2 linked regions of the Stegostoma tigrinum genome follow. The protein of the gene in region 2 interacts with the protein of the main gene of each other region in a biochemical or structural test. Links are inferred from orthologs where the notes say so. Each region holds a gene or a part of one and is shown on either strand. Other genes may lie near its edges. The genes, in order: beta-arrestin-1 and signal transducing adapter molecule 1.

Region 1 (15,900 bases), on a different chromosome or scaffold from region 2:
GGGATGATGTTTAGATATTCTTTCTTAGAGATAATCTAGAGCCTATGATTGCAAACGCTACTTGCTCCTTGTCAGCCCAAGCTTGGATATTGTCCAGGTCCTGCTGTATTTGGACATGCACTGTTTCAGTATTTGAAGTCATGAGTGTTGCTGAACACTGTGCAATCATCGGTGAACATCCCCATACTGACCTTAGGGAAAGTCATTGATGATGCTGTTGAAAATGATGGACCTAGCTCACTACCCTAAGACACTCCTGCATTGATGTCCTGGAGCTGAAATGTCTGACCTCCAACAACCACAATCACCTTCCAAGGTGCCAGTTACGACTCCAACCCAATTCCCAATAACTCCAGTTCGCTAGGGCTTTTTGCTGTCACATTCAGTCAGATGCCTTTCCAGACTGGGTGTACAGGAGGTGGTGAGGGATGTACCAAGAGGGAAAAACATAGTGGGCCTCACCCTCACCAGTGTCCTGGCAGAAGATGCATTCTATCCATGACAGTATTGGTAGAAGTAACCATAATCCTTGTCGGGACAAAGTCCCATCTTCACATTCATTTCAGATGGTGTTTATGAGCCAATTGCATTGCTTTGGGTTCAAAGAAAACCAGTGAACCAAATAGACTTTCAGTACATTTGTCATGGCCAGCATTGCTTCGCATAACATTTATATTTCGGATTCTTAATTAAATGTTGCCATGATAGGATTTGAACTGATTGCCATGAGCATTTAAGATAATAAAATGTGAGGCTGGATGAACACAGCAGGCCAAGCAGCATCTCAGGAGCACTCCTGAGATGCTGCTGGGCCTGCTGTGTTCATCCAGCCTCACATTTTATTATCTTGGATTCTCCAGCATCTGCAGTTCCCATTATCTCTGGTACAATTTTAGCCATGAGCATTTAACTCTGGATTATTCATCATTACCATGACATTGCCATATGTGCCCTTTTCAATCCTGAGATGTAGTCTTTATAAGGTTGCTACAATGTTAAACACAGAGCTAATGGGTTAATGTATAAACTCACAAAGGGGATCACGGTCCCTAAGAGACCACACCACGAGTCCACACTAAGTGGATATTTGCCTTAGCTCCACTGGTTGAGGAGAGGAATAGTAGCAGGATCTGTATCATGGACCTCCACCAACTTGTTTGTGACAATTCAAACTTAATTTCAAAGGGAACGGAGTGCAAAAGCGGGGAGGCATTGCTATAGCGAGATAAGACACTAGCCAGAACACTAGGTAGAAAACTGTGAACAGTTTTCGGCCCTTTATCGAAGGGGAGATATATTGGCATTGGAGATAGTCCAGAGGTAGTTCATTTGACAGATCCTGGGTATTGTGGGACTGCCTTATGATGAAAGGCTAAGTCGACTGGTCCAGTACACGTTGGAATATAGAAGAATGAGACATGACCTTATTGAAACATGTAAGATTCTTAGAGGCCATGACAGGGTAGATGTGGAAAGCTTGCTTTCCCTTGTGAGCGAGTCTAAGACCAGAGGACATCATCTCAGAATAAGGAGCCGCACATTTAAGACAGAGTTGAGGAGGAATTTCTTCTTTCAGGGGGGAGTGAATCTGTGCAATTCTTTACCTCAGAGGGCTGTTAAGGTTGGGTCATTAAGTATATTCAAAGCTGAGATAGACAGATTTTTGATCATAAAGGAATCAATGGTGCTGGGGAGAGGTAAGAGAATGGAGTTGAGGATTATCAGACCAGCCACGATCTCACTGAGTGGCAGAGCAGACTTGATGGGCTAAATGGCCTATTTTGCTACTACGCCATATGGTCTTATGGCAGGAGGTATTTGGGTTGAAGGTAAGCATGTTGTAGGATTGTTGGCAACTCACCAACCACCCTGGTGTAAATGCAGACACCTCTGTCACCTCTGAATGGTCCAGCAGAAAATGGGGAATAGAAGGGGAAAGGGATGGATTCAAGCAAGAAGGTGGTGACTCTCAGGCAGAACAATGACATCCATATCAAAAAAAACACTAAATCCATTGCCTTTTTGAGAAATGTCCATTTCATTGCAACACAGCTATTCATTCAACAGATGTTCCTTTATGTGGTGCAGATGGTTCCTGTACATTGTGATCAACATACAACACTTGCCAAGAACTGACGCGTTTGATTCAGGATTACACATGGGGTGGGAATATCTGCACTTTCAGTGAATGTACGAACGGGAAAGCATAATTGGCTCTGATCTTTAATCGCCTCCAGCTCAGCATTCCTGTTTGATCAGCAACGCTCTACAGCAGCCTGAACTGGTAGTGGAATTCACAAAATATCTCCCACATGACCCTTTACAAGATGAGTACCCAGTGATATTCTGAATCATCCAGTCAGCAAGCACAGAGGGCAGGTTATTCTGCGTGGTGTCACTGTGCTAGCTCTTTGGAACAGCTATCAAATTTGTACTACACACCCACTGCTCCCCATCTGTGTCTCCTGCCCTTGCTCCCCACCCTTGCAAATACAACCGTAAGAGCAGTTTGCAAAAGGAATCTTGTAATTTCATGACAAAAACCAAAAGAACTGCGGACGCTGTAAATCAGGAACAAAAGCAGAAGTTACTGGAAAAGCTCAGCAGGTCTGGCAGCATCTGTAAAGAAAAATATCAGAGTTAACATTTCGGGTCTAATAACCCTTCCTCAGAATTGAAACGTTAACTCTGATTTTTTTCTTCACAGATGCTGCCAGACCTGCTGAGCTTTTCCAGCAACTTCCGTTTCTGTTGTTGTAATTTTGTAAATTAGAAGACAACCAGCAGCCTAATTCAGGTGTTATTTTTAATATTCATTCACAAGATCGCTGGTGAGACCAACATTTGTTGACCATTCCTAATTACCTGTGAACTGAGAGGCTTGCTTGACCATTTCAGAGGGCAGTTATGAGACAACCGCATAGCTGTAGGACTGGAGTCACATATATGCCAGACCAGATAAGGACGGCAGATTTCCCTCCCTAAAGATTTTAAAAGGTGTCGTTGCCGCTCAGAAAGAGGGGACTGAAGGCGGTGTATGTCTTTCAATCATTAGGACAAATGCAAAAATGTCAAATTATCACAATTTAGATATTGTCTACTCTACCTGCTCAGAGATTTTATTATTGATCCCTGGAGCAGGCAACACCCAATCCCGGGCCTCTCTAGTTCAGAGATAGGGACAGTATCACTGCACTTCAACAGCCCCTAAATCAGCTGCCCAACAAACTGACCCCCGACACGTATCTGTGAACCAGACAATCGACAATAATTATGTGGTCACCATTAGGGCAACTTTTTATTGAATTTAAACTACACCATCTGCCATGATGGGATTAGAACCCATGTTCCCCAAAGAACAGCTTGGGGCTCTGGATAACTGGACAAATGACATTCCTGCTTTGTCACTACCTCCCCCTACCCAAGGAATGAATAGGATAGGTAGAGAGAATTTATTTCTTCTCTTGGGAGTTGGGGTTGGGCTGAGGGTGGGGACCGGAACAAGGGGACTCAGAGAAGATTAACGCCCACAGCTGACTGCACCCACTCTGAAAATTCACATCTCCAATTATTGACATGTTCTCAAAGTAAACCCTGAGGACAGATACCGAGAGCTAGAATGAAAGCTTTCCTTAGGGAGAAGTGAAAAATCATAGATCACTGATCGCAGCCATTCTGACCAGGAGAGAGAGGAGCAGAAGTAGGCCATCAGGTTTGCTCCATTATTCAGTGAGATTGTGGCTGATCTGAGATTCCTCAACTCCATTCTCCTGCGTTCTATCTCCACCTTGAATATACCTAATGACCCAGCTCCGACAGCCCTCTGCAATAAAGAATTCCACAGATTCACTCCCCTCTAAGAGAAGAAATTCATCCTCATCTCACTCTTAAACGTGTGACCCCTTATTCTGAAATGATGCCCTCTGGTCCTGGACTTTCTCACAAGGAGAAACAATGTCTCTATATCTACCATGTCAAGTCCCGTAAGGATCTTGTATGTTTCAAAATGGTCACCTCTCATTTTTCTATATTCCAACATGTACAAGCCCAATGTTTTCAACCTCTCCTCAGTCCCTCCATACCTATTATCAACCTAGCATACTTTCTATGAATTGCTTCTAATGCCCGTATATCATTCCTTAGATAAAGGAATCAAAAACTATTCACAGTATTCCTGCTGTGGTCTGACTCATGCTTTGTGTAGTTTTAGCAAAACCTCCAAAATTGTATACTCCAATCCCTTTGAAATAAAGGCCAACATGTTATTTTTCTTCCCTATTACTCAGTGAACTGGGATGTCCATTATATCTGTCCCCACTCTTAGAATACACCAGGCAGTCAGCTTTGTTTGTTCTTCATCTTTCTCCAGTTCCTGGTTTTCCCTTCTCCCCCTTTTGTGTTTGAGAATTCATCCAAGGTCTTTTTGAAAGTTCCTCTTGAATCTGCTTCCACTGCCCCTTCAGGCAGTGCATTCCAGATCACAGAAACCCCTTGCGTCAGATAAATGTTGGCTCCTTTTGGCTCAAACCTCATCAATGTGTGGCCTTTAGGTTTGCCAATTCGACCCACCACACCAAACCACCCCCTCCCACCCCATCCCAACGGAACCAGTTTCTCCTGATCGACTCGATCAAAGTTCTTCATGATTTCAAATACCTCTATTAATTCTTCCCCCGAGCCTTCTCTTCCTGAAGGAGAACATTCTTATCTTCTTCGACCCCACTCTCTGGCTCTCTCCTGCTCTAACTCCACAAACCATGTTTGCTTCTTACGCATACCCTCATACTTTTGAATCTTGAGCTGAATGTGGAATACCCTCTCCCAGAGGAGACTCGCAGCCCGATGCATCATTTCATATCCAACATCCTCAGATTCCCCTTCACTTGGTAAAGGGAGGCAAAGCAAGTGAAGTCATAGGACAGCCTTTGTCCTTCTGGGTGTCAGGATAGATAGAGGGGCTGAATGGCCTCCTCCTGCTGTTGTTTCTCATCACAGCTGAAGGTTGGACAGCCACAAGAAAGTAATTATGTGATCCACTTGGAATCCTCAAATTGGAACATGCTGTATCCCAAAATGAGAGAGAGAGAAGAGTGGCGGGGGCGGGGGGAGAAATGGTAATCCACCGGAATATCTAAGAGTTGGCAGAACAGGAATCAAAGGGATCTAAAAACGGGAGGGGGATCACTTTCAAACAATCCTGTGACAAATCCCCATCTATCCCCACCCCACCCCACCCCGCGATCATCAAGGCTTTTAAATTGAATCCTAGTACCAGTTAACCCCAGGATCTTAGCTCAGAGTCTCATTCAAAAGCTTTTAACCAGCAGCAAACATTGCAATGGTAGCACGAAGAAAACAACATCATCGTGAAAAATTAAACTCAAAAATGCCAGAAAAATCTGATCTTCATTTATTCATGGGAGGTGAGTGTTACAGGCCAGGCCAGCATTTACTTTCCATCTCTAATTGCCCAGAGGTCAGTTGAGTATCAACCACATTGATGGCCACACTGGGTAAGGATTCCTTACTAAAAGAAAAGATACTAGTGAACCAGATGGGTTTTTAATGACAATTGTGATTGGATTCTTAATTGCAGTTTTGTTTTTATTGAATTCAAATTCCTCCTTCTGTTATGGCAGGGTTTGAATGCAGGTACCCAGCAGAATAACAGGGTCTCTGGGTAACAGTCCAGAGATAATCCCACTAGGCCACCATCTCCCCCTATGTTATTAGCAACAGACTGATTGAGAATGTTCAAGGTTTACAAATAAAGCCAGGAGACTCTCTCCCAGTTTGCATCCCAGTCTCAAGACTGGAGCTCAACCCGTTCTAACCATTCCCCTTTCCAGTTGCGTTTTAAGCATCCAATAAAACAGAAATCTCACAAACCTTGTGCCTTTGTCACTCATTATTCTGCTGCCTTTCCAGCTTCGTGGACAGAACCCCGGAATTTCAGATCAGAGCCGAGCCCTCGGAAGCTACAACTGAGATTTAATTCAGACAGCCCCTGTTTATTGCTGTCTCTCTATCGCCTTTAATCTCGTCCACTCCCACTTCTCTTCACATTCCTTTTCTTCCCGACGGCCACACACCCCTCCCTTATCTGATAATTAAACAGATAAATTTCTTTCGCGGAGGAGGGTTAATCCCAAATCCCTACTGCTCAGTTCCACCGTCATTCCTTGCTGCATATTCGACACACACACAGTCAGACTCCCTACTCCACACACACACACACAGACATCCCCACGCCTAGCTCTGCTTAAAGCCGAACCAACCATTATACAGACTGATTCGTGGGCAGAAAAGGGTTATGGTTTTGACAGCCTCCTGAATTAATACCTCACCCCCCCAGACACCCCAACTCTGGGGAAAGGAGAGTGCTAATAGATTTACAGAGAACAGTTCAGGACTGGACAGACATAACCAGACATAATAGAGGAATAGTTACCACTATACCAGATACAAGAAACAGAAAAACATTCCCTAATATGGATGGAGATTAACAAAGTGTGCAGACAGGCACATCTACAGGAATGGTAGCATAGTAGTGGTGTCAGAATCCAATAATGTATAAACATGTGCTCAGAATCCCATAGCAGTGACTGTGCAATTCAACAAATTTGTAATTGGAAACTATTGTAACCACGAAACAGCTGGATTGGAGCAAATCTGGAACTTAAAGCTGGTCTCGGTGATGATGACAGTAACACATCAGCCATCGTTGAAAAACCCATCTGGCTCGCAGATTTTCTGAAGAAGGGCCTAGACCCGAAACGTCAGCCTTCCTGCTCCCCTGATGCTGCTTGGCCTGCTGTGGTCATCCAGCTGTACACATTGGTGGCTCACTGATGTCCTTTAGAGAAGGAAATCTGCAGTCCTTATCTGGTCTGGACTACTCGTGACTCCAGACCCACAGCAATGCGTGTCCTCTGAAATGGCTGAGCAAGCCTCTCAGTTCGAGGGCAATTAGGAATGGGCAACAAATGCTGGTTGTAGCCAGTGACACCCTGAAAGAATGAAGGGGAAACTGTACCCTTTGTAGGTTATTTACACATCCACAATTATACACATATCCATTGGAAAAGTGGTGAGATTTTGCAACTGAAATATTCATGGATTCATAGAGCCATTGAGTGGCACAGCACAGAAACAGACCCTTCGGTCCAACACGTCCACGCTGACCAGATATTCTAAACTAATCTGGCCCCACTTGCCAACATTTGGCCCATCTCCCTCTAAACCCTTCCTATTTATACATCCATCCAGATGCCTTTTAAATGTTGTAATTGTACTAGCCTCCACACTTCCTCTGGCAGCTCCTTCCATTCACACACTGCTCTCTGCGTGAGAAAGTTATGCCTCATGTCCTTTTTAAATCTTTTCCCTCTCATTTTAAACCTCTGCCCCTCTAGTTCTGGACTTCCCCACTCAAGGGAAAGGATCCTTGTCATTCAATTTATCTATGCCCCTCATGATTTTATAAACCTCTGTAAGGTCACATTTCAGCCTCCGACGCTCCTGGGGAAAAAAATCCTCAGGCTATTCAGCCTCTCCCAATAATTCAAACCTTCCAAGCCTGCAACATCCTTGTAAATCTCTTTTGCACCTTCTCATATTTACCAATATCTTTCCTATAAATGGATGGCCAGAATTGTGTGCCGTATTCCAAAAGGAAAGATCTAGGAGCAGGAATAGGCCATTCGGCCCCTTGAACCTGCTCCACCATTCAATACCACCATGGCTAATCTCATCTCAACCTCAAGTCCATTTTCCTGCCCACTCTCTTTAACTCTTCAACCTGTTACTAATTAAAAATCTATCTAACCCCTTCTTAAATGTATTCAGTGTCCCGGCATCCACCACACTCTAGAGGAATGAATTCCACAGATTCATGACCCTTTGTGAGAAGCAATTCCACCTCATTTCTTTAAATCTGTCAAACCTTCTCATAATTTTTTTTTCTGAAAAAGCATCCTGACCTGAAATGTCACCTTTCCTGCTCCTCTGATGCTGCCCGGCTTGCTGTGTTCCCCCTTCTCCACACTGTGTTATCTCAGACTCCAGCATTGACAGTTCTTACTGTCTCTCATAAAACTATGACCTCTTTTTCCAGATCGCCCCACAAGGGGAATCATCCTGTCCAAATCTACATTGAGAACACTTTTTAGCACGTTATAAACTCTAACTGGATCTCCTCTCGTTCTTCTTAACTCAAATGAGTATTGGTCTAAACTCAATCTCTGTTCAAAAGACAAATGCCTCAATTTTGCTCATTCACTGTAACAATTCTGTAGATTTTAATGTTAACGCCTCACATTTTTGAAACTTTAGACTCAACCCTTCTATGCTGAAATGTGTTGGGTTAATACTTCAGCTTGTTCATATTAGTTTGACCATTTTCATTTGCTGTCTTTGATTGAACTGTTGGTGAAAAACTTTCACACCCTCAACTGAGCGATCTGCAGATTCTTTCTTCCTTGATGTGAAATCTATTATGGTTGTTGAGGATTCTTCTTTGGAGGGCGGGAAGGTAAATATTTGAAGACGTCCCTTCAAAGTCAGCTCAACATGTGATGTGTGGCTTGCATTTGTCATAACTGGACGCAGTGCACAGGATGGGTGGACTGTGAACTGGTCCAGCCAATAGCAGCCATTTATTGCCCATTTGTACTTGCCCCTTGAGAAATTGGTGGTGAGCCGCTTTCTTGAACTGCTGCTGCCCACGTGCGGTCGGTAAACCCACACTGCCATGAGAAACCCCAAGGGATTTGACATAGTGGCACTGGGGGTACAGCAATATATTTCTAACTTAGGATGGCGAATGGCTCTGAGGGACCTTAAAGGGGGTGGTATTCCCATTTATCTTTGTCCCTCCAATTGGTGGTCATGAGTTTGGAAGGTGCTGTCCTAGGTGTGTTGGTGAATTTTTGGAGTGCACATGGTAGATAGTACACACTATTGAGCAACAGTGCGAAAGGAGTAGATGTTTGTGGATGTTGGTGACAATCAAGGGGGCTACTTTTTCTGAATGACGTCAAACTTGAGTGTTGCTGCAGCTTCATTCATGAAGGAAATTAGGGAACATTCCATCACACTCCTGACTTGTGCCTTGTAGTTGGTGAACAGGCTTTGGGGAATCAAGAGATGAGTTATTCGCTGCACAATTCCTAGCCTCTGACCTACCCTTGAGCATTGCATTGAAATGGCAAGTCCAGTCCAGTTGTGGTCAATGGTCAGTTACACTGGGCTCTGGTGAAATCATCCGGAGTACTATGTTAGGTATTGGCCGTCTTATTTAAGGTAGGGCGTAAATCCATTGGAAGCAGTTCATAGAAAGTTTACCAAAGTAATATCTGGAATGGACAGGATGCCTTATGAGCAACTGCTGGACGGGCAAGGCTTTTATCCGCTGGAGTTTAGAGATTGAGAAACAATTTGATTGAAACATATTAGATCCTGAGGCCACTTAACAGGATGGATGTGAAAAGATGCTTCCTCTTGTGGAAGCACCTAGAACTCAGAGATCGCTTTTTAAAAATTAAAGGGTCACCATGTTAGTCAAGGATGAGGAGCGATTCTTTCTCTCAGGGGATTGAGAGTCTCCCCAGCAGGTGGGGGAAACAGTGTCCAAATATTTTGAAAGCAGAGATGGCTAGATTCTTGACAAGCGAGGGGGTGAAAGGTTACTGGGAGTAATTGGGAATGTGGAATCAAGGATGCACTTATATCAGCCATGATCTCATTAAATTGTGAAACAGGCTCCAGGGGCCAACTTCAGCTCCTCACCTGAATGTTCATGTTGAGTTAAGATGGGAACTCAACCGTTGAATTCAATGGAACCAGCGGGACATAGAGGTACAGAGATCGATGGCTCATTAAGTCTGTGCCAATCGAAAACAACCATCTAACTATTCTAATCCCACCTTTCCAGCACTTGTTCCATAGCTTTGAATGCCTTACCAGATTGAGTCACTCCAGCTGGATTGGTTTAGAATGGAAATTGACAAACCACATGTATTATCAAGGGATAACAAAGTGTGGAGCTGGATGAACACAGCAGGCCAAGCAGCATCTGAGGAGCACAAAAGCTGATGTTTTGGGCCTAGACGCTAGATCAGAAAAGCAACCACTGGAGTTTAGAAGAATGAGAGGGGGAATCTGATTGAAATGTATAAAATTCTGGATGTGAGTTTGCTCGCTGAGCTGGAAGGTTAGTTTTCAGATGTTTCATCACCATTCTAGGTAATATCATCAGTGAGCCTCCGGTGAAGCGCTGTCCCGCTTTCTATTTAACGGTTTAGGTTTCCTTGGGTTGGTGATGTCATTTCCTGCATTGGTGATGTCATTTCCTGTTCTTTTTCTCAGAGGATGGTAGATAGACTCCAAATATTTGATGATTTGGAGCCTACCTACCATTCTCTGAGAAAAAGAACAGGCAATGACATCACCAACCCAAAATAGAAAGCGGGACAGCGCTTCACCAGAGGCTCACTGATGATGTTACCTAGAATGGTGACGAAACGTCTGAAAACTAACCTTCCAGCTCAGCGAGCAAACTCACATCCAGAACCTCAACCTGAGCTACAAATCTTCTCAAAACGCACTACGCATAAAATTCTCACAAGTTGTTCAACTTGAAAGGGTGTGGAAAGATTTACAAACATGTTGCTGGGGTTGGAAAGATTGAGCCGTAGGGAGAGGCTGAATAGACTGGGACTTTTTCTCTGGAGTGGCAGAGGTTGAGGGGAGACCTTATAGAGGTTTATAAAATCATGAGGGGCATGAATTAGGTGAATTGTCAAAGTCTTTTTCCCAGGTTAAGGGAGTCCAAAACTAGATGGTACAGAGTGAGAAGGGATATTTTAAAAGGGACCTAAGGGGAAACTTTTTTCAGACAGAGAGTGGTGCATGTAAGGAACGAGCTGCCAGAGGCAGTGGTGGAGGCTAGTTGAATTACAATATTTAAGAGGCATCTGGACGGGTATATGAAAGGAAGGGTTTTGAGGGATACAGGCCAAATGCTGGCAAATGAGACCAGATTTATTTAGGATATCTGGTTGGCACGGACAAGTTGGACCAAGGAGTCTGTTTCTTTACTGAACGTTTCTATGACTGTTGATGGACAGTTCAGTTGCAGGAAAAACAGTTCTGATGAGCAAGGAGTCCAGAACCAGGGGACAAAGTCTAAGGATACAGGGTAAACCTTTTGGGACTGAAGTGAGGAAATATTTCTCTACCCAGGGTGAGGTGAATCTGTGGAATTTCCAGAAGCTAAAGGCATCAAGCCGCTTGGGGAGAGGGTGGGAACGTGGCGACGGAGATAGTGGGTCAGAGCATGAATATGTTGAAAGTCAGAGTAGCTTCAACAGTCCAAGAGGCCTAATCCTGCTCCCGCTTTCCACGTGTCTGTTTTGAACCAGGTCAGGACCCAAACAGACTGGAATGGAACCAGATAAAGCCAGCGAATTTTGATGAGATCAGTGGAAGGTGGGAGTCTGATCTGGAGCGTGTGATCGTAGTCTGAGGGAACCGAAGCTCAGGCAAGGTCTACTGTAGCAGATGAACCAAGGCATAAACATAGTCAGGCAAGGTAACAGAGATGACAGTCCCAGTGCGGGAGACCCTGTGGGGCCAGACGATCATCCGGGCCTGTGTGTACAAGGTGCTAAGTAGGCTTGGTGAATTTCTGCAGTGTATGTTGTAGATGGCCCACACTGCATTAAGTGGTGGAGGGAGTGAACGTCTGAGGTGGGAGAGACAGAGTTCCAGGTTTCTCAGCAGCAGAACTGAATGGAGATATTGTTCAATGTCAAGCTAATCCATTCATTCATGGCAGATAATTAAAGCTGCATTCCTGGGAATTCATGGAATAGAAATAGTGACAACTGGGGGAACAACTCAGCTGTACCGGAAACAACACTGAATGTTGAAGAGAAATACTGCTATCCTGAATGTGACAGGAGTCAAATCTTCAGGGAGGGTTGAAACTTCAAGAGGACCAAAGTTTGAGAGTTAAACGAACAAATATCTGGATAGTGATCATAAAGAACAGACTCACCACTGAGAAGTGACACACAATTATTTATTTAATAAAAATACAAAACTATGAATGTTAATGTTAAAAGTATAAATGAAGTACTTTTGCAAGAATTAAATTCTTTACAATATTTAAAGAATGTAAACATTATATTAGTTTAGTGGGTTTTAAGATGAGGAGACACTGCATGCAATCAAACCCTCATCCTCAGCGAGTCTCTTGCTTTGAACCAGAGCTCGAACCATCAGCTCGAGGTGGAGGGTAAGGCTTAATCCCGGAATATTATCCCTAAATATTAAAGGTTATGGGGCCTCAGCAGAAATGAGGAGTTAGGACACAGATCAACCATAATCTCATTAATTTGACAGCACAACAGGGGCTGGATGGCCCACTGGAGCTCCAATATTACCCAAACCTGTTACTATTGGTTACTTTAAGTTGTTGTTAAAAATCCCCCATTCACTGCTCTGCTGCGATGTTGGCCTGCAGCTGAGAACATTCTGAAGCAAAGATACTGACAGCTAGTATTTCTGGGCCAATCTAGTGCTGTATCATTGACTGAGGAGGTTTTGGAGACCAAGAGAGAGCCTGCTCAGTTCTCCCAAATCCCAGCAATCAAACCACCACAGTGTCATGAACACGCATCTCCTCTCCACTTATCTCCTGGGTATATAAGAGTTGTATAACTCCTGCCTTTGCATGACCAAAGTATCACTGAAATGCTGTTGAAGTGTTTCATTTTACATTCATTATCAGGATAGAATGGCAAGAATGCCAAACTTCAAAGGGATTTATCCTACAAGTGAAATGGGTGCTCACGGTTGGTAAGTTGAGACCTTGCTCTTGGGAATGCTCTGGGGAACAGTTTGAACCCAATGACTTTGTTTAATTGAGGAAATTACAAAGCCAGGGCATGTTTGCTCTCCCAGCAGAGGAGGCAACCCTGGATATAAGTAAAAGTCACTTCATGCCAACATCAAGTGGGCCTGACTGACAATCTTCAACTGAACCAAACAGAGTCAACTCTCCAACCAACTGGCACCCTTCTTCCCTGCACTACGAATTGTTGTGCCCTGTGCAATTTAGTCAGAAGTCACACAGCACCAGGTTAACATCCAACAGGTTTAGTTGGAAACACAAGCCTTCAAATCACTGTTCCTTTTGTTGGCTGATGTGGAGGGAAGCAGACAAATTCTGTGTCTGCGCACTTCCCTCCACAGACAATGGAGCAGAGCTCTGAAAGCTTGTAATTTCAAATAAATCTGTTGGACTACAGCCCGATGCCGTGTGGCTTTGCCCATCCCAGTCCAACACTGGCACCTCCACAACATTGAAATTTAGAATTCTTGCATCGGTGCTGGTGAGCGCAAGATGGCTCTTTTTCTCCGTGCAATACCTAAATCAGTTCTGTGCCACCAAGTGACTATTTATTACAACAGTCAGCAGAGGCAGGTGATCTTCCATCAATATTTGTACAAACAGGAAGGTGACTGAGAGAGACCCCAAGTGAGTACAGATGTGCCAGATAGAAGAGGCATAGTGGGTCTTTGAAAAATAGACGCACACATTGGCTTTCATTTGACAAGAGCATTTCACAATTCATTTTGAGGAAGAAAGATTTTAATTTTATACAGCATTTTTCAGAGACTCAAATGTCTCAAAGTGTATTATAGCCAACAAAACACTTCTTGTAGTGTACTCACTGTTGGGACGGAGGAAACAGAGCAGCCAATTTCTGTACAGCAAGATCCCACAAACAACTGTGTCATAACGTCCAAATGATCTTTGTATTATTGTAACGTTGATTGTGGCCGGCACCAATGCCTCAGGGATGTCTCATTTGCTCCTCTTTGAAACAATATCAAGGAACACAATACTTACACCCAAAAAACAAGTGGGGGGCCTTGGTTTAATGTTTCATCGGGAAGACAGAACCTCCAACAGCCCTGCAATCACTCTGCATTGCCATGGAATATCAACCCTGACTCCTAGAGCAGGGCTTGAAATTTTGAAACAGCGGAAATAGGAGAAGGAATAGGCTAAACAGCACTTTGAAGTGTCTCTGCCATTCATCTCAGTCCCCTGTTCCTGTTTTCTCCCCCATACCTGGTGATCCCTTTAGCCCTAAGCACTATCTCTAATTTCTTCTTGAAAACATCCAATGTTTTGGCTTCAACCGCTTTCTGTGGCAGAGAATTCCACAGGCTCCCCACTGTCTGGGTCAAGTCATTTCTCCTCATGTCAGTCCTAAATGGCCTAACTTGTACCATTAGACTGCGACCCTTGTTTCTGGGCTCCCTGGTCATCTGAAACATCCTTCCCATGTCTATCCTCTCTAGTCCCATTAGAATTTTATAGGTTTTTATGAGATTTCCCCATTCTTCTAGTGAATATTATTCGAGACAATCCCGTCTCCCTTCATACATCAGTTCTGCTGTCCTAGGAACCTGGAACCTTCAGATTCAGAAGGAAGAGTGCTGCCCACTGAGCCATCACTGACACATCAAGCCTGGAATATGGGAGTCATAGGAGATGCCAAGGCCATGGAGTGAGGACAACTTTTCCAGGGTTCTCAGTGAATATGGAGAGACTGGAGAAGTTGGGATTGTCTTCCACAGACTGAAGACGTTTAAGCGTAATTTTAAATCACGAAGGACAGAAGGGGAATAGTCTAGCGGTAATGTCACTGGACTGGCAATCCAAGATCCCAGGCCATTGTTCTGAAGACATGGGTTTGAATCCCACCATGGTAAATGGTGAAATCTGCATTCAATAAAGAGCTGATGTATTGGTCAACTTCCAGCCATTGTCCATTGATGCTCAAAACACATCTGGTTCGTCTCAAATTCTCCAGTGTCTACAGCTCCTACTATCTATGGTTCATTATAATGCCGTTTAGGGAAGGAAATCTGATGTGGCTTCCAGACCCGCAGCAATGTAGTTGACTCTGAGCTGCCCTGTGAAACGACCCAGCACAGCCACTCAGTTACATCACACTGTGAGAAAGTTTCAAAGGATTGAAACCACGCCAGTCCCCTTGAGTCAATCTAGGCACTGGAGGAGACAATGGCAGAAACAGCCCTGTCAACCTTGCAAAGTCCTGCTCATTAGCCTTGTGCTAAAGCTGACAGACTAGTCAATCAACAGCCTGATATCGTCATACTGACAGAATCATACCATGTAGACAACAGGATGGGCAACAGAGATAACCAGGAGCTGGATGAACACAGCAGGCTAAGCAGCATCTTAGGAGCAGGAAAGCTGACATTTCAGGCCTAGACCCTCCTTCAAAAATTCTTCCACCCTAACCTGCACATCTTTAGACTGTGGGAGGAAACCAGAGCACCTGGTGGAAACCCACACAGACACAGGGAGAATGTGCAAACTCCAACATACAGTTGCCTGAGGGTGGAATTGAACCTGGGTCCCTGGCGCTGTGAAGCAGCAGTGCTAACCAGTGAGCCACGGTGCCAAATTGTTGGAGGTAGATTATGTTGGAGATGATCACCTTTGAGTATCCTCTGAGATTAGGTAAAACATGATTTATTGTGAACTATAATGCAAAGGAGAGGTGACAGCACACACAGGCTTGTTATGCTTGCACTTGGGAAAAGGCAAGTTTGTAGCTGCTCAGTCATGTGGGGTTTTCTTCACTGATGAGGGCATCACTGACTAGGCAGCATTTATTGCCCCCTCCCTAATTGCCACTGAAGGCATGTGAGAGTCAACCACATTGCTGTGGGTCTGGAGTCACGGACAGCCCAGACCAGGTAAGGATGGCAGTTTTCTTCCCTAAAAGGACATTAGTGAACCTGATGGGTTTTTCCTGACAATCGATAACTATTCAAAGGCATCATTAG
Region 2 (15,593 bases):
CTCATGTTTCTAATAAGACTAGGAATGTGATAGAATGGGAAGAGCACTATGATAAGAAAATCACTAGAATCATCCTTTGTAGCATCATACATCATAACTGAAGTAGAATCTAACTATTGTTAAGTAGTACAAAAAAATTTCCTCCATCCCTGTAGCTTCCCTTCCTAAACTGGTAAAATGGTCAAAATGTTATAAATTGCATAAAGATACAATGAAATCCAAAAATTAGAACACAAGAAACAGACTTGGAAAAAGGAACACCAATTTGTACAGAATGAGAAATTTCTCATTCTCAGTTGGGCCATCATCCGCATGAAGATGCAACAAGGACACTTAACTGTAAATGGTAGTTCTCAGGTCAGTCAGGAAGACAAATTGATCAAGATATTATCATGGGCATGCTGCAGAGATATGCAGTCTCCATAACCCACTTCTTCCATACAAAAGGTGCAATGCATGTATAAATTTGTTTTATCAAAGCAAAACAGCATCTTGTGTAATAATATTTGTAGCTTTAGGCACCTACAAATGAAGCACTCTATGACATGAATAACTTGATGAGGGAATCAAATGCAGTATTTGCAGGTTTGCTGACAAGACAAATCTAGGTGGGATTTTAAGTTGTGAGCAGGGTGCAAGGCAATCTAGAATACTTCAGGGCAACCTGGAAAAGTTAAGTATGTTGGCAAACAAACAGCGAATACATTATAATGTGCATAAATGTTATTTAGCTCAAAACTATATCACATTTTACTGAGTAATTCTGAAAGAAATTTGAAAATGAGAAACCCCACTTCAATTTGATGAGAGATAATGGGAACTGCAGATGCTGGAGAATCCAAGATAATAAAGTGTGAGGCTGGATGAACACAGCAGGCTGAGCAGAGGGTCTGATGAAGGGTCTAGGCCCGAAACGTCAGCTTTTGTGCTCCTGAGATGCTGCTCGGCCTGCTGTGTTCATCCAGCCTCACATTTTATTATCTTCAATTTGATGAGAGTTCTTTGGTGTCTTGTAAGAACTGAAAGCAGCATGAAGAAATTTTAAAAGATACCTGACATTTATTTTTAAAATGCTATTGACATATGAACATAAATTTTATTTAGCTCATAACTATATCACAGTTTACTGAGTAACTTGCAGCAAACTTTGTGTAATAAATTAATCTCTATTTTGTTTTAAGCATAAAGATGTGCTGCTGATTCTTTTTAAATTTTAAATTTTAAATGAAAGGAGGAATGAACAAGCTGTCAAAATTTACAGTTCACAGATGACTCTGAAGTTAGATCAAGACCAAACATCATTCTACTATAAGGCTCCTTGACCTTAATAAAGTTGTTGGGACAAGCTAACTGATTTTGGTGCAACAGGTTAACAGAATTTATTCAGTAAATGATTGAATAAATATGATGCTATTAGTCTGGCAGTATCTATGAAGAGACATCAGAGTTAACATTTTAGTGCTAAGGAAGGATCACCGGAGTTGAAACGTTAACTCTAATTTCTCTTCACAGATGCTGCCAGACCTGCTGAGCATTTCCAGTATACTCTGTTTCTGTTCCTGATTTGCAGCATCCGCAGTTCTTTCTGTTTTTATAATGGTATTGGTATTGGTAATCAAGCTAGTTTTCTTCCTTGATCCTTGAATTTGCCTAGATATAGATCGTTTCATCTTCAGTTTGTCATATTCTCTCCTCTGGCTCTGCCTTCCATGTGCAAAGATCCTCAATGGCCTACTTTTATTTCCTCCCCAGGTCTGCTTATATACAGAGCTGCACATTGTTGCCCGCTGAAGACGTAAGTACCTGATCCCTTTATTGTATTTATCCTAGTCACATAACGCTGTACGTGCTAGTGATATTTTCCATAGCATTGATGCCACACCTGACACAAAATTATAAGCTTTGATCTTCACAGGTGTCACACTGCATCTTAATGGGTTGAAGGGTTATGAATAGTGGGCTGGAAAATGGACTTGAGGCCGAGATGAGATCAGCCATGATCATATTTAAATGGCAGAGCAGGCTCGAGGAGCTGAAATGCTTCCCCCTGTTCCTAGCCCTTATGTTCTTATGTCCTTGAGTGTGATACCCAATACTATAAATGCTATAGTTTCTGGGATTCACTGTGCCGTTTTTGCATGGTGCAACACTCCTACCTGTTTTACTGTTCGTCCTACAGTTTCTGTCATCCATTCTCCTGGTATGGACAGGAAAACTATGGGGATAGAAGCAATCTTTCAGCACTACTGTGCGAAAGTTAGATTCTATTTCAGTTCAGATGTAGACATCATTGATGCTACAAAGGATGATTCTAGAGATGTTCCTGTCATGCTGCTGTTCCTGTTCTGTCAATGAGTGCAAAATGAAAGGCGTTAACTTCTCTCTTTTTAGCAATGTTTAGGTTCTGTACTACCAAGCAATAATATTAAAAAAGTACTGGCAAGAAGATTGGTTGAAAATTTGAGATAACAAAGTGTAGAGCTGGATGAACACAGCAGGCCAGAGAGCATGTTAGGAGCATAAAAGCTGACGTTTCAGGCCCAGACCCTTCATCAGAAAAGGGGGAGGGGAAGGAGGCTCTGAAGTAAATAGGGAGAGAGGAGGAGGTGGATCGAAGATGGATAGAGGAGAAGATAGGTGGAGACTTGGTCTGTATTAAATACATAGATATGTAATGACCGCAAAAATAAAAGAAATTTGAAAATGAGAAACCCCACTTCAATTTGATGAGAGTTCTTTGGTGTCTTGTAAGAACTGAAAGTAGCATGAAGAAATTTTAAAAAGATACCTGACATTTATTTCTAAAATGCGGCATATGAACATACTACGTAGGCGAAGGAATGAGCCATTTGCTCCATGGCCGTTCCTCCACGAATCAATAAGATTGATTGATCTCATTGTGCCACAACTCCACATTCCTGCCTACATCTGATAATCATTGGCTCTTGTTAGTCCATAATATATCTACCATTGCCTTAAAAACATTCTGTGATGCTGCCAACAACATTGTCTCGGAAGGTTGTTCCAAAAGCTCACTATCATCTGAAAGAGAAAAAAAATCCCCTTCACCTTAAGTAGGTAAGCCTTTATTTTTAATCTGGGTCCTCTCATTCTGGACCTTCCCATGAGAGAAAGCAACCATTCAGCATCCACTCTGTCCCCTTAGGATCTTACATGTTTCAATTATATTGCCACTCATCTTTCTAAACTCCAAGGGAAGCAGGCCCAATCTGTCCAATATTTCCAAATAAGATAACCTCACTATTAAAAGAATCAATCGAGTTAATTTTCTCTGAACTGTTTCAAATGCATTTAAGTTCTTTCTCAAATAAGCAGACCAAACTGTACTCCAAATGTGGTCTCACTAATGCCCCGTGCAACTGTAACGAAGCTGTGGCAAAACTCAACTTCCCTTGCAATAAATGTCAACATTCAATTTGCCTTTATAGCCTGTTACTTTATCTGTATGTTACATTTCTATGATTTCTGTCTCAGGACAACCAAATTCCTATGTAGCTCTGTGTTCTGTAATCTCTCGCCTTTTCAATAATATGCTGCTTTTCTATGCTTCTTGCCAAATAGGAAAGTTTACACCCAAATTATACATCATATGCCAAATAATTGTCCACTCACTTAACCAATTTCTTTGCTTTTGCAGACTTATGTCCACTGTGGAATTTATTCTCCTACCTATCTTTTCATCATCAGCAAATTTTGTAACAGTATTTTTTTCTTCATCCAAGTCATTGAGATAAATTGTAAATAATTGAGGCTCCACCTTCATCAGTAATTATGTATATATTACCCAATTATCTTGATTTTATAAAGTAGCATTTCAGATGGGCTATATTGCATTCTTACTATTTATAAAAATGCCAAAATGGTAACAAATGGATTTAAAAATGTCTTGCGTAAATCCAAGCTACATTTAAATAGGAGCTGTGGATTATTTCAATTCAAGAAAAGTTTAAATCTGACTCTCAACTGGAGAAAGATTAAATATATTTTAATTTAAATAAAATGCTGTATAAAAATAAAAAATGTTGACAGCAAAATGCTCGACCCTATTAACACTCAGGTCTCATTTGCATTGAATTTGTGAGTTATGTACATATTTACAAGATTGTTACACAATTTACCAGAATTTACGCGGTGGAAGAGGAAAGCAGGAAACTGGCAGATTATGACCATGAGCCTCCATCAAGAGAACATAGGAGGGCTGATTCATGATAGGGCTATGAAAAGTCTAGCACATCATAGACACTCAGAATTCTTACAGTATAGAAAAAGACTAAGAGTTATTTGTATGGCATGTTTGGAGAGGTATTCACAGCTCAGGGGATTGGAGATAAGAAGGGAATGGGTGACCATCAGGCAGTCAAAGAGAAACAGGCATGTAATGCAGGAGTGCCCTGGGTCCTGCTGATAAATCACTTTCTCATTTTGGAAGCTGTAGGGGTGCTTTTTCCTCAGAGGAGTGCAGACAGAGCCAAGCTTCTGGCACCATGAAGCTACCTGATTGTAAAGGAAGGGAGAAAGAAGAAAGCAGGACTTTTAGTGACAGGGGATTCATTAGTTAGGGAATAGAGAGGCATTTCTGCAGCCGGTGGCATGATTCCAGGATGGTGTGTTGCCTTCCTGGTGCCAGGTCAGGGATGTCACTGAATGGCTAAAGGGCATAGTGGAGTGGGAGGATGACAAGACAGAGGTTATGATATACTTTGCTATCAGTGATAGGTAAAAGAGGGATGAGATCTTGCATCAAGTTCTGGGAGCTAGGCAGTAGATTAAAAAGCATGACTTCTCAGGTTGTAGTCTCTGGATTATCCCCAGTACCACATGCCAACTCGTACAGAAACAGGAGAACAGGGCAGGTGAATGCTCAAGAGTTGGTGAAGGAAGGAGGGTTTTACATTCCTGGACCATGGGATCGTTTATGGGGAAGATGGGACCTCTACAAGTCGGACTGTTGCACCTGAAATAGAACTGGGCCAACATCTTTGCGGGAATGTTTGCTAGTGCTGTTGGGAAGAGTTTAAACTAGCTCAGCAAGGGCAGGGAACACAGTTCAGTAGTGGCGTGGCCCAAAATGGGAACCTAGACTGAGGTAGTTCAGACCTGTTGAGCCACAAGGATGTAAGGTGAGGCAGGATGGCCTCTGCATTAATGCTATGCTATTATAGGTAAGCCATATGGGTTAAGGGCACGGATTGACACATGGAATTACACCGTTGTTGACATCACAGAGATGTGGTTGATGGAGTAACAGAACTGGCATCTCAACATTCTGGAGTAAAGGATATTCAGGCAGGACAGGAGAGAGTGTAAAAGAGGAGGCGGTGTTGCATTATTATTTAAGGATTGAGTTACTGCAGAAGGTAGGGATGATATCTTGGAAGGATTGTCAAATGAGGCTTTGTAGGTAGAATTTAGATAAGCCTCCAAACAGTCTATGAGCAATTGAAGATCAGATATGTAGACAATTCACTGAGGTGTGCAAAAACAATAACAGGGTAATTACATTAAAGGATTTCAATTTCCCCAACACTAATTGGAAGAGTCATGGCGTAAAGGGTTTAGAGGGGACAGATTTCTTGAAATGTATCCAGGACAGCTTTTAATGTCAACATGTAGATGATCCTACAACGTACAGCGTTGTGCTGACCTAATTCTGGGTGACGAAACCAGGCAGGTGTTTGAGGGGACCACTTTAATGATAGTGATGATAACATCATACATTTTAAATTTGTAATGGAAAAGGAAAAAGATGGTCTGCAAAAACGGGACTTGCATTGGGTGAAAGCAAATTCACAAAGAGGGCTGGGAACAGCTACATGAGTGTGAGTCTAAAGTCGAACAGTGGGAGGTATTCCAAAAGGAATTAGGGAGAATACAGTTTAACAGGGTGAAATGTAGAAGCAACAATCCCAGAGAACATTGGATATCTAGGAATATTCAGGATTGGATAAAAAGAAAAGGAGAGACATATAACAAGTACAAAGAGAGCAAATCAATGGATGAAACATAGAAAGTGCAAGGGGGAACTTAAGAAAGCAATTAGAAGAGCAAAGAAGGGTCATGACAGGTAAGATTAGGAAGAATCCCAAGATATTCTACTAGTATATCAAAGGGAAAAGAATAAACAGAAGAGAATTGGGCTTACTGGGACCAAGGGGACAATCTAAGCCTGAAGCCAGGGGACATTGCTAGGGTGTTAAATGGTACTTCACAATTGTCTTCACTCAGGGAAAAGAGAGTTTAGGTGTAGGATTTGGGAAGATGATCTGTGAAATTCTTGAGCTGTTTAAAAAGGGAGAGAGGAGGTATTGGAGGTTTTGGCGGGTTTAAAAGTAAACAAATGTCCAAGTCCAGATGAGTTATATCCCAGACTGCTGTGGGAGGTGTGGGAGGAAATCACAGGGACTCTGACCCAAATTTTGAATTGCTGTTGGCCATGGGAGGTGCCAGAGGACTAGAGGACAGCTAATGTGGTTCCATTTTTCAGGAAGGGTGATGTAGATAAATCAAGGAATTACAGACCAGTGAGTTTCACATCAATCCTGGGGAACTATTGCAGAAAATCCTGATGGAGAGAATTGATCTTCATTTAAAGAAGCAAGGTTTGAAGAAGGATAGTCAGCATGGCTTTGTCAGAGGAAGGACAAGCCCAACAAATTTGATTGAGTTTTTTGAGGAGTTGACCTAGTGTGTGGATGAGGGGAGGGCAGTTGATGTGGTTTATAAGGGTTTCAGAAAAGCTTTTGAAAAGATCCCACATAGGAGACTGATAAAGAAGGCAAATGCTTTTGGATCTAGGGTAATTTGGCAAGATGGATCCAAAACTGGCGGACTGTCAGGAGACACACAGTGATGGGAGAGATTTTTGTATGACTGGAGACCAATGGTGTACCACAGGGATCAAAGCTGGATCCCTTATGGTTTCTAATATAGTTACATACAAGCGATATAGGGGAGAGTGTCGGGAAGATGATAAGTAAGTTTGCAGGTGACACAAAGATTGGTTGACAGTGAAGAAGGTGGTCTTTGGTTGCAGGAGGATATAAAAGGATTGGTCAGATTGATAAATCAGTGGCAGATGAAATTTAACACTAATACATGTGAGGTGATGCACTTTGGAAGAAGTAACAAAACAAAGGAGTACTCAATGACTGGCAGGACATGAGGAAGATCTGAGGAACAGAGGGATTTTGGACATTGGTCCACAAATATCTGAAGGCAGCAGGGCAAGTTAATAGGCACAGAATACCTGCCTTTATCAGTCAAATAACAGATTATAAGAGTAGGGAGGATATGTTGGAGCTGTATAAGACTTTGGATAGGCCACAGATATGCAGTTCTGCTCGCCACGCAACAGAAGACTGGTTGTACTGGAAGAGGTGCAGAGAAGATTCACCAGGATGTTGCCAGGGATGGAACACTTTAGCTATGAAGAGAGGTTGGATAAGTTTGGGTTGTGCTGTACCCCAAGGAAAACATTGAAGGGGGACCTGATAGAGGTATATATTAGGTTAGAAGCCAGCTGTTCCCATCTTTTGAAGGGTCAATGACAGGGGCATAATTTTAACATGACAGGTTTGAAGAGGGATAGTTAGCATGGTTTAGAGGGGTTGTGAGGAAAAAGAATCTTACTCAGAGAGTGGTGGGCATCTGGAATGCACTGCCTGAGAGGGTAGTTGAGGCAGCAAACCTCACAACTTTTAAAAAATACTTCGATGAACCTTGAAATGTCACAACATTCAAGACTATGGGCCTGTATAATTCTTTGAGGCTATTGCATCCAACATGTCTGCACTGGCTCTTCAATGAGCATTATGACTGAATGCCATTTATTTGCATTTACCCCATACCCTCGCACATTGGTTCTATTCGAATTACATCTTCTCTTGAATACCTCATATGACTCTGCCTTCACCAGAATTGCAGTCCAGACCCAAACACCTTGCTATGTGAAAGTATTTTCTTTTTTCACATCACTTTTGCTATGTTTGCCAATCATTTCAAATCTGTGCCCTCTCATTGTCGATCCTTTTAAGTGTGACATCAGCTTCTTCATAATTAGTCTATTCAGATTTTCCCAATTTTGAAAATTTCAGATCTCTTCTTAACCTTCTGTCCAAGGAGAACAGTCCCAAACTCTCACCTGACTTGTGATTGTAATCATTTCTATGCTCCAAAGTTCCTTTCTTCAGAAATATCAGTATTTGGGGAAATTGATTCACTCCGCATTGCAAAACAGTCGGAGAGAACCAGACACAGCAGGAGTCCTGAATATATCCAAGCAGCAGTACTAAAGGCCTGGACACCAGAGCTAATACCTCTCTCTGAAGAAAAGTCACGCTAAACATTAAAACAGGGCTGTAAGAACACACCCACTTATTTACTTTTACACTTTTGACTGTTAGCCAGCATTTAAATTGAGTATTATTCGATTTGCAAATTATGCGGAATGGATTCAAAAAGTCTGCCGTCTTCATATAGAGGCTTTAGTAGCGGGTAGTGCCTTTCTGATTTAAATTTAAATAGGAAAATTTGAAAGTAGTTTCGGGCCCTCGAGCCGAAGAAGATGCAATAAGGTCATGACTGATCCGAAACTTCTCACGTCCGCTTTCCTGCCCTGTTGTTGAAAATACTTATTACTTTCCTTCGTTAAAGCTATAAAATGTATCAATTGGTAATCATTGCGTGTAAAATAAAACTCACTGCATCAAATTTAATGCTAAAATTCAACATTTTAATGTAAATTGGAAGAGAGAAAAATGGGATCAGACTTTTTAAAATTGATTACCTTCAATATCGTCTACTGCTAAAGACAGGGGTTTGTTTTACGTAACCTGCGGGACAGTGTCATTTACTTTTACCGTAATCCTCGTGTTTTGTTCTTTTACAGGGTTTGGTATTTATTTAAAAAGAAAATAATTTATTCCAGTGCGTTTGTAAAGGGAGTATTCGTTGGTATCGTGCACGATTTTCGCACTTTCAGCTGGAAGAGACCCGCTGACCCTGATTACACCGACAGGTGGAGAAAGACAGCAGTATCTACACTTAGCGCTGGAGGCTTTGAGATACGTCGCAGGGCTATATTAGCATTTCGCCGGATTGGAAATGCAGTGAAAGGGGGTGGAGAGGCATGAGTGTTGACAATAAAATGCAAATGCAATTGGTTCGATTCAGTTTTTCTGATGCTTAAAAATACGAACCCGTATTGCATTTATTTTTATGCTTCCCCACCGCTAGTTCAGTGATTTATCACTAATCTCTTCTTTTCGCCATTCCGCTGCAGAGGTGCAAGCGGCCTCTGATTTCCGAACAATACTGCGTTTTGCCTGTGAAACGGATCAGCTGGCGGTAGGGCCGACACCACCAGGCTTGAGGCCGGAGTGGGGAAGGAACGCAGCCGGGGGGCTCGTGCCGGGCGCAGAACGCGGCTCGGGAGGGAGCGCGCGTGCGCCGCTGGGGCCGAAGCTGCCGTTGAAAGTCACTCCGGGCTCGGATGCGGGGCGATTCTTGGCGGAGGAGTGAGTCGGGGAGTGTGAGGCGTTCCAACCGACATTGGAGACACAACCTAGGGGGCAGTTAGACTGCAACAAGCCGCACGCACGTATATACAGTCTTCGGAGATGCCTCTCTTTGCCGCCAATCCATTCGATCAAGATGTTGGTAAGTCCTTTTGCGGGTTAAAATTGTAATCTGCGAATTGCTGGCCTGTGGGCTGTGTGTTCCCAGTGTTTGCTTGGAAGTTGACGATATGAAGGTACGATGCTTCTGTTGGAGAGGGATTCAGGCAGCGTTCGCAGATGTGGGCCTTTTGTTTGCAAAAGGACCGAGTGAGAAATTTGGGTACGATATTTTGGTCAAGTTTTGCTTTCCTAATCAAATCATTCAGCGTCATAAATGCACTTGAGGGGCAAAGAACACCGAACCTGAGATTAAACTGTCTCATTTAAATTCAAGCGGCTCAAATTTTATTTTGCTTTAAATACATCATTTGAAAGCTTCGGTTAAATTTTAAACGTAAAAGTCCAGTTGAAATATCGGTCTTAAAATCACAGCATGCTTCAGGTTCCTTATTGCAGGATCGTGTAAACAATGCAGAGCAGACAGGTTTGGATTGAAAAACGTAATTGATTTTTAAAAAGTGCATAAAGCATTTGTAAATGATATTTTAATATTGATTTAAGGTAAGTTAAATGTAAATTTTTGTAAGGAGTTTGAGAAACTAGAGATTGTGGTGCTTGTCACCTTAATTTTACTAATAATTGTCATGACAAATTTTGCAATTACTCCCTTCCCTCATGGGAGGTAATGGAAACAAGAGATGAACCCCACTGAGCTAACTGCCAAATCGTACTGTATTGTAATTGTAAGATTGAGGCAGATCCTTTTGGAGGTTGCTTATCCTGCCTAAATAAGAGCATGTGCACTTTTCCTACACTTGTGCTGATGAGGAGCAACAATTTTTCGAGTTTTTTTAAAATTTTGGGACAAACTGGGTGGAAAAATTGTGAAACAGCAATTTGAAAAAAGACTTGCAGTAAACTAGTTCCAGTTTATCTAAACAGAAACATGCTGGAAATAGGTTGGCTTCTGTAGAGAGTACATATAAATTAATAATGATTTAAGCAAAGTTTTTCTTGGAACTAGCAGAACTCTATCCATGCCATATAGAAAGGGATAGAACAAAGGGGAGTCCTCTGTATAAAAGGTTGCCCTCATGTCCTTGTTAAACCTTTCCTCTCTCACCTTAAATCTATGCCGCTGCTCTTTGACTCCCCTATCGGGGGTGGGGGAAGACCTTTGGCTATTCACCTTATCTTATGCCCCTTATAATTTTATGATTGTCTCCAAGGTTACTCCTCAGCTTGCACTCCAGGGGGGAAAAGGTTCCAGCCTACCACCTCATAACTCAAACTCTCCAGTCTCGGTAATGCTCTTGTAAATATTTTCTGCAGCTTTCACATTTAATAACATCCATCCTATAGCAGATTGACCAGAATTGTGCGCAGCTTTCCAAAAGGAGCCTCACCAATGTCTTGTTCGGCTGAAACATGATGTGCCAACTCCAATATTAAATGCTCTGACCAATGGAGGCAAGTGTGCCAAATGCTGCTGCCTTCACCCTGTTTCCCTGTCCTGCCACTTTCAAGGAAGAATGTACGTGCACCCCTAGGCTTCTGTTCGACGACACTCCATTAACTGTGTAGCTTCTATCCTGGTTTGTCTTACCAAAATGTAACACCTTACATTTATCTAAATTAAACGACATCTGCCACTCCTTGACCCATTGGCCCAGCTGATCAAGATCTCTTCAATAACCTTTTTACTTCACGATACCACCAATTTTGGTGTCATCCACTTGACTTATTTCATTGATTCAGCGATAGTAGGAACTGCAGATGCTGGAGAATCTGAGATAATAAGGTGTAGAGCTGGGTGAACACTGGGCCAAGCAGCATCAGAGGAGCAGGAAGGCTGACGTTTCGGGCCTAGACCCTTTAGAAATTCTTCATTTCTGAAGGAGGGTCTAGGCCCGAAACGTCAGCCTTCCTGCTCCTCTGCTGCTTGGCCTGCTGTGTTCATTCAGCTGTACACTAGGTTATGACTTATTTCATTGTTACATTGTGGTTTGTGGAATCTTACTGTGTGCAATTTGGCTGCATTTAAGCATGGTATGAGAGTGAAACCAGGAAAATTTGGATCAATAAGGAACATAGTTGCAGTAGGCCATTCCTCCTCTTGAGTCTGCTTTACTATTTTAGATTATCTACTCTGTTTATCAGAGAAACAAAACAAATGCTTTTTGCCTGTTTTCACCAAAGAAATTACTAAAACTGTCCCAGAAATAATGGCAAATCTAGGGACCAGTTAATACAAATTTTAAAAAGAAGTACCAGAAAATTTAATCGGACTTTAAGTAGACTTGAACCTGCCATGCTGAACATACCAGAGTTTTGAATGAGGTGGCTGTGGGGATGATGATGATGAGGTGGCCATCCTTCAAAATTCTGTAAACTCTGGCATGTTTGCTGTGGGTTTGAAAATGGCAAATGTAACCTCACTATTTAAGAAAAAGAGGAAGGAGAAAACAGAACTCTAGACCTGTTAGCCTGACATCAGTTGTGAAGACAATCTTAGAATTTATATTAAAGGATGTGATAGCAGGATATTTTGAAAATAATGGGAGGCAGATTGGATAAAGTTAACATGGATTTATGGAAGAGAAATCATGTTTAGCAAATCTCTTGGTGCTTTGATGGATTGTGCTTGTTGTGTCCTCTATCATGATATTCTTAATAGCAGAGCATTAGGTTAGAAGATTGCAAAGTTTCATTCCCCTCTGAGTTCTGAAATTCTTTCTTACCTTAGGCCTAAATGATTTGCTCCTTATTCTGAGACTGTCCACTAGTTGTAGAACTCCAGACCAAGGGGCAAGATCTTTCGGCACCTGCCCTGTAATACCCTTTACGAATTTTGTAAGCATTTTGCTTTGACATCTCTTGCTTCTATACTCTACAAAATACAGGCCTAGAGTCCTCAATCCCCCCTCATAGGAAAGTCTGCCTTCCTAGGGATGAATCTGGTGACTCTCAACTGCATTCCTGCTGGAGAAAGTATATCTCTTTTTTTTGATGTAAGGGGGCTGAAACTGCACCGAATACACCAAGTGCTGTCTCTCAAAGGTTCTAAACAGTTGCGATAATGGGAACTGCAGATGCTGGAGAATCCAAGATAACAAAGTGTGAAGCTGGATGAACACAGCAGGCCAAGCAGCATCTCAGGAGCACAAAAGCTGAGGGTCTCTGGGTCTAGGCCCGAAACGTCAGCTTTTGTTATTCACACTTTGTTATCTTCTAAGCAGTTGAATCATGTTAGGCTAATAGTTCAGAACTAAAGATTACATCTGTCAAACAGAAATTTCTAGAGTCTTCTATTAAGGAGAGGAGGACTGAGCCACTTAAATTTACAGCTGATCAGAGGGATTCAACGTGGATTTGTAAAATAATAATTCATGCCTGACAAATTTGTTTGAATTTATTTTGAAAATGTGAGTTAGCGGACAGGGGAAGAAATGTCTACGGATGTTACATTTGGACTTCCAGAAGTCATTCGAAAAAGTTCTTCATGGCAGGTTGCTAGTGTATGTTGAAATTCGTGGAATTGAAGATAAGTCAAAGACTTGGTTGGGAGATTGACTGAGCTGCAGGAGACAAGAGTAGGGAAGGTGAGTAGGTATTCTAATTGGCAAGTTGAGGCTAGTGGTAACTAGTATGTCTCTATATTGGTGGCCTGAATTACTCACCCCATTTATCAGTGATTTAGATCATTTGATAGAATACCACACGTCCAATTTAGTTGATGCCGAAGTAGGTGATGTTACGACAGTGTGTAAGTGTTACATCACAAAAATAAGGTGATTCGAAATGAATGGGCACCACAGTGAAGGTGGTGAATGGCTTCAGCACAACTAAGTGTGGTAGCAACTACTCTCGACGTGAAAAGGAGTAGAAAAGAGTTCTTTTGGCAAAGATTGAAGAAGTGGAGGCCCTAGAGACTTGGGAGCCCAGTTACAGTAAAATGTAAACAGCTACAGAAAGTAATCAGAAAAGCAAATGGATTACTGGCCTTTGGAGGGGTAGAAATCATAGTTTGGCAGGACAAAGACACACACAAGATCTGAAATGTTATTAGCAGCTTTGGACTCAATACGTTAAAGATGTGTTGGCCTTTTGAGAGAGTGCAATGAAACTTTTTAAAGGAGTTAGATATAATTCTTGGTGGTCGAGGGTAAAGTCATATGGGAGGGGGTACTGAGTTGAATGATTATTCATGATCATATTGAGTGACAAAGTTGGCTTGAAAGTTTGAGTGGTCCATTCCTGCTCCTGTTTTCTCTTTCTATGACTAAAGATTAAATTATGAGAAACCAAGGTCACAATTTTTGCAACTTAGGAGGTCTATTAGGTATATTTGATCTAGGTTTTCAAGATATTCAAGGCAACAGATGGGATAGATGGAAACTATATTTCCATTGTTTGACGTCTTTAGAATTGAGAGCTGAGTCTAAAAGTCATGATCAGGCCTTTCAGGAGTGAAATTAGGAAATAACTCCACAGGCAATGTTTGACACAAGTTTGGAGCTCTCTTCTGTAAATGACATTTGATGCTACATCTATTGTTAAATTAAAAATTGAGGTCGATAGGTTTATTTTTGTTCTTTTTGCGTTATGGGATATGGAGCAAAGGAGAATATTTTGGATATTATGGAGTTAGGTCATAGATTATAGATCATAGTTTGAGCAGAGACTGGCTTCTGTATAAGGACAGATTTTAACATTTGAAAGCACACTACTGTTACTTTTTGATTTTATGGAATTTGGGGGCTAACCTCACTTCGACCAACTTGTTACCTTGGACATTAACGTAAACTGTGGGAGACATTTAAATCTGTCAATTTATGTGGTTTTCTGATCCCTAAAATTGTTTGTTTTTCTTTGTTCCTTTAGTAATCTTAAGTGCTGTCTTGCATGAGAAACTGAAAACATGAACTGTTAAATGACACGTGCCTCAACCTTAGTACTGTTACTGCTAATCAAGTTGCTTTTAAAATATAACCACTGTTTTGTAAGGAACTGTCATTGTCAACTTGCATGCAATGGGATCAAGAAAAAAGTGAGTGAGATAAATAATCTGATTTTTGTTTTGCACAAAAATAGAAAAGATTGGAAATACTAAGCAGTTCTGATAGCATCTTTGCAGAGGGAAGCAGAGTAACCATCTTGCTACCTGATCTGTAACAGACATCAAAGTCATATTCTTATATTTTTATGGAAAATTGTCACACTCTAGTCTAGCTAGTGCAATCATCACTAGTTTGTGCCAATCATTAACAATTGTTTGTGGTCAGTTTTCAGTGAATTTCTTAGTGAGAAGGTACATGTGAACTCTTGTGACATCAGATCCATGCACAAATCCCTCTTGCTATATATTCAAATAAGACTAAGGTACTTTTAATAGACGTAGAGTCATAGACCATGGGAACAGGCACTTTGACCAAATTCATCCATGCTGACCAGGTATCCTGAACCAAACTAGTCCTGTTTGCTTGTATTTGGCCGACATCCCTTTAAACCTTTCCTGTCCATGTACCTGTCCAAATGTTATAATTGTACCCACGACCATTTTGTCTAGCAGCTCATTCTATACATGCACCATACTCTGTCAAAATGTTGTCCCTCTGGTCCCTTGTAAACCTTTCCTCCTCACCTTAAACCTATGCCCTCTAGTTTTGGACTCCCCCCTATCCTAAAGAAAACCATGATTTGATAATGAGAGGTATAGAGTTAACGGTACTTGTCTTTTCCCTCAGATGGGGGATTTCAAGACTAGGGGACACATTTTAAGATGAGAGGAGAGAGAGATTTTAAAAAAGACATGAGGCAGATTTTTTACACAGGATGGTTCGCATGTGAGGAAGTGGTGGATGTGGGTACAGTTACAGCATTCAAAAGGATTGGTACGTGAATAGGGAAGGTTTGGAAGCATATGGATTAGGAACAGACAGGTGCCACTAGTTT

What was found.
Region 1: the proteins of signal transducing adapter molecule 1 (region 2) and beta-arrestin-1 form a complex in vitro, tested with the Homo sapiens proteins (2 studies listed by BioGRID). The link is inferred for Stegostoma tigrinum from reciprocal best matches to the Homo sapiens genes STAM and ARRB1.

Annotation. Positions count from the first base shown.
Region 1 is NC_081359.1:109,443,598-109,459,497, forward strand, and holds the start of beta-arrestin-1, read right to left. Parts: upstream 6,245-15,900; 5' UTR 5,910-6,244; coding exon of another isoform or gene 5,890-5,909; intron 1-5,889. UniProt on the Homo sapiens protein: Functions in regulating agonist-mediated G-protein coupled receptor (GPCR) signaling by mediating both receptor desensitization and resensitization processes.
Region 2 is NC_081355.1:115,187,118-115,202,710, forward strand, and holds the start of signal transducing adapter molecule 1, read left to right. Parts: upstream 1-8,928; 5' UTR 8,929-9,638; coding exon 9,639-9,678; intron 9,679-15,593. UniProt on the Homo sapiens protein: Involved in intracellular signal transduction mediated by cytokines and growth factors. Upon IL-2 and GM-CSL stimulation, it plays a role in signaling leading to DNA synthesis and MYC induction. May also play a role in T-cell development.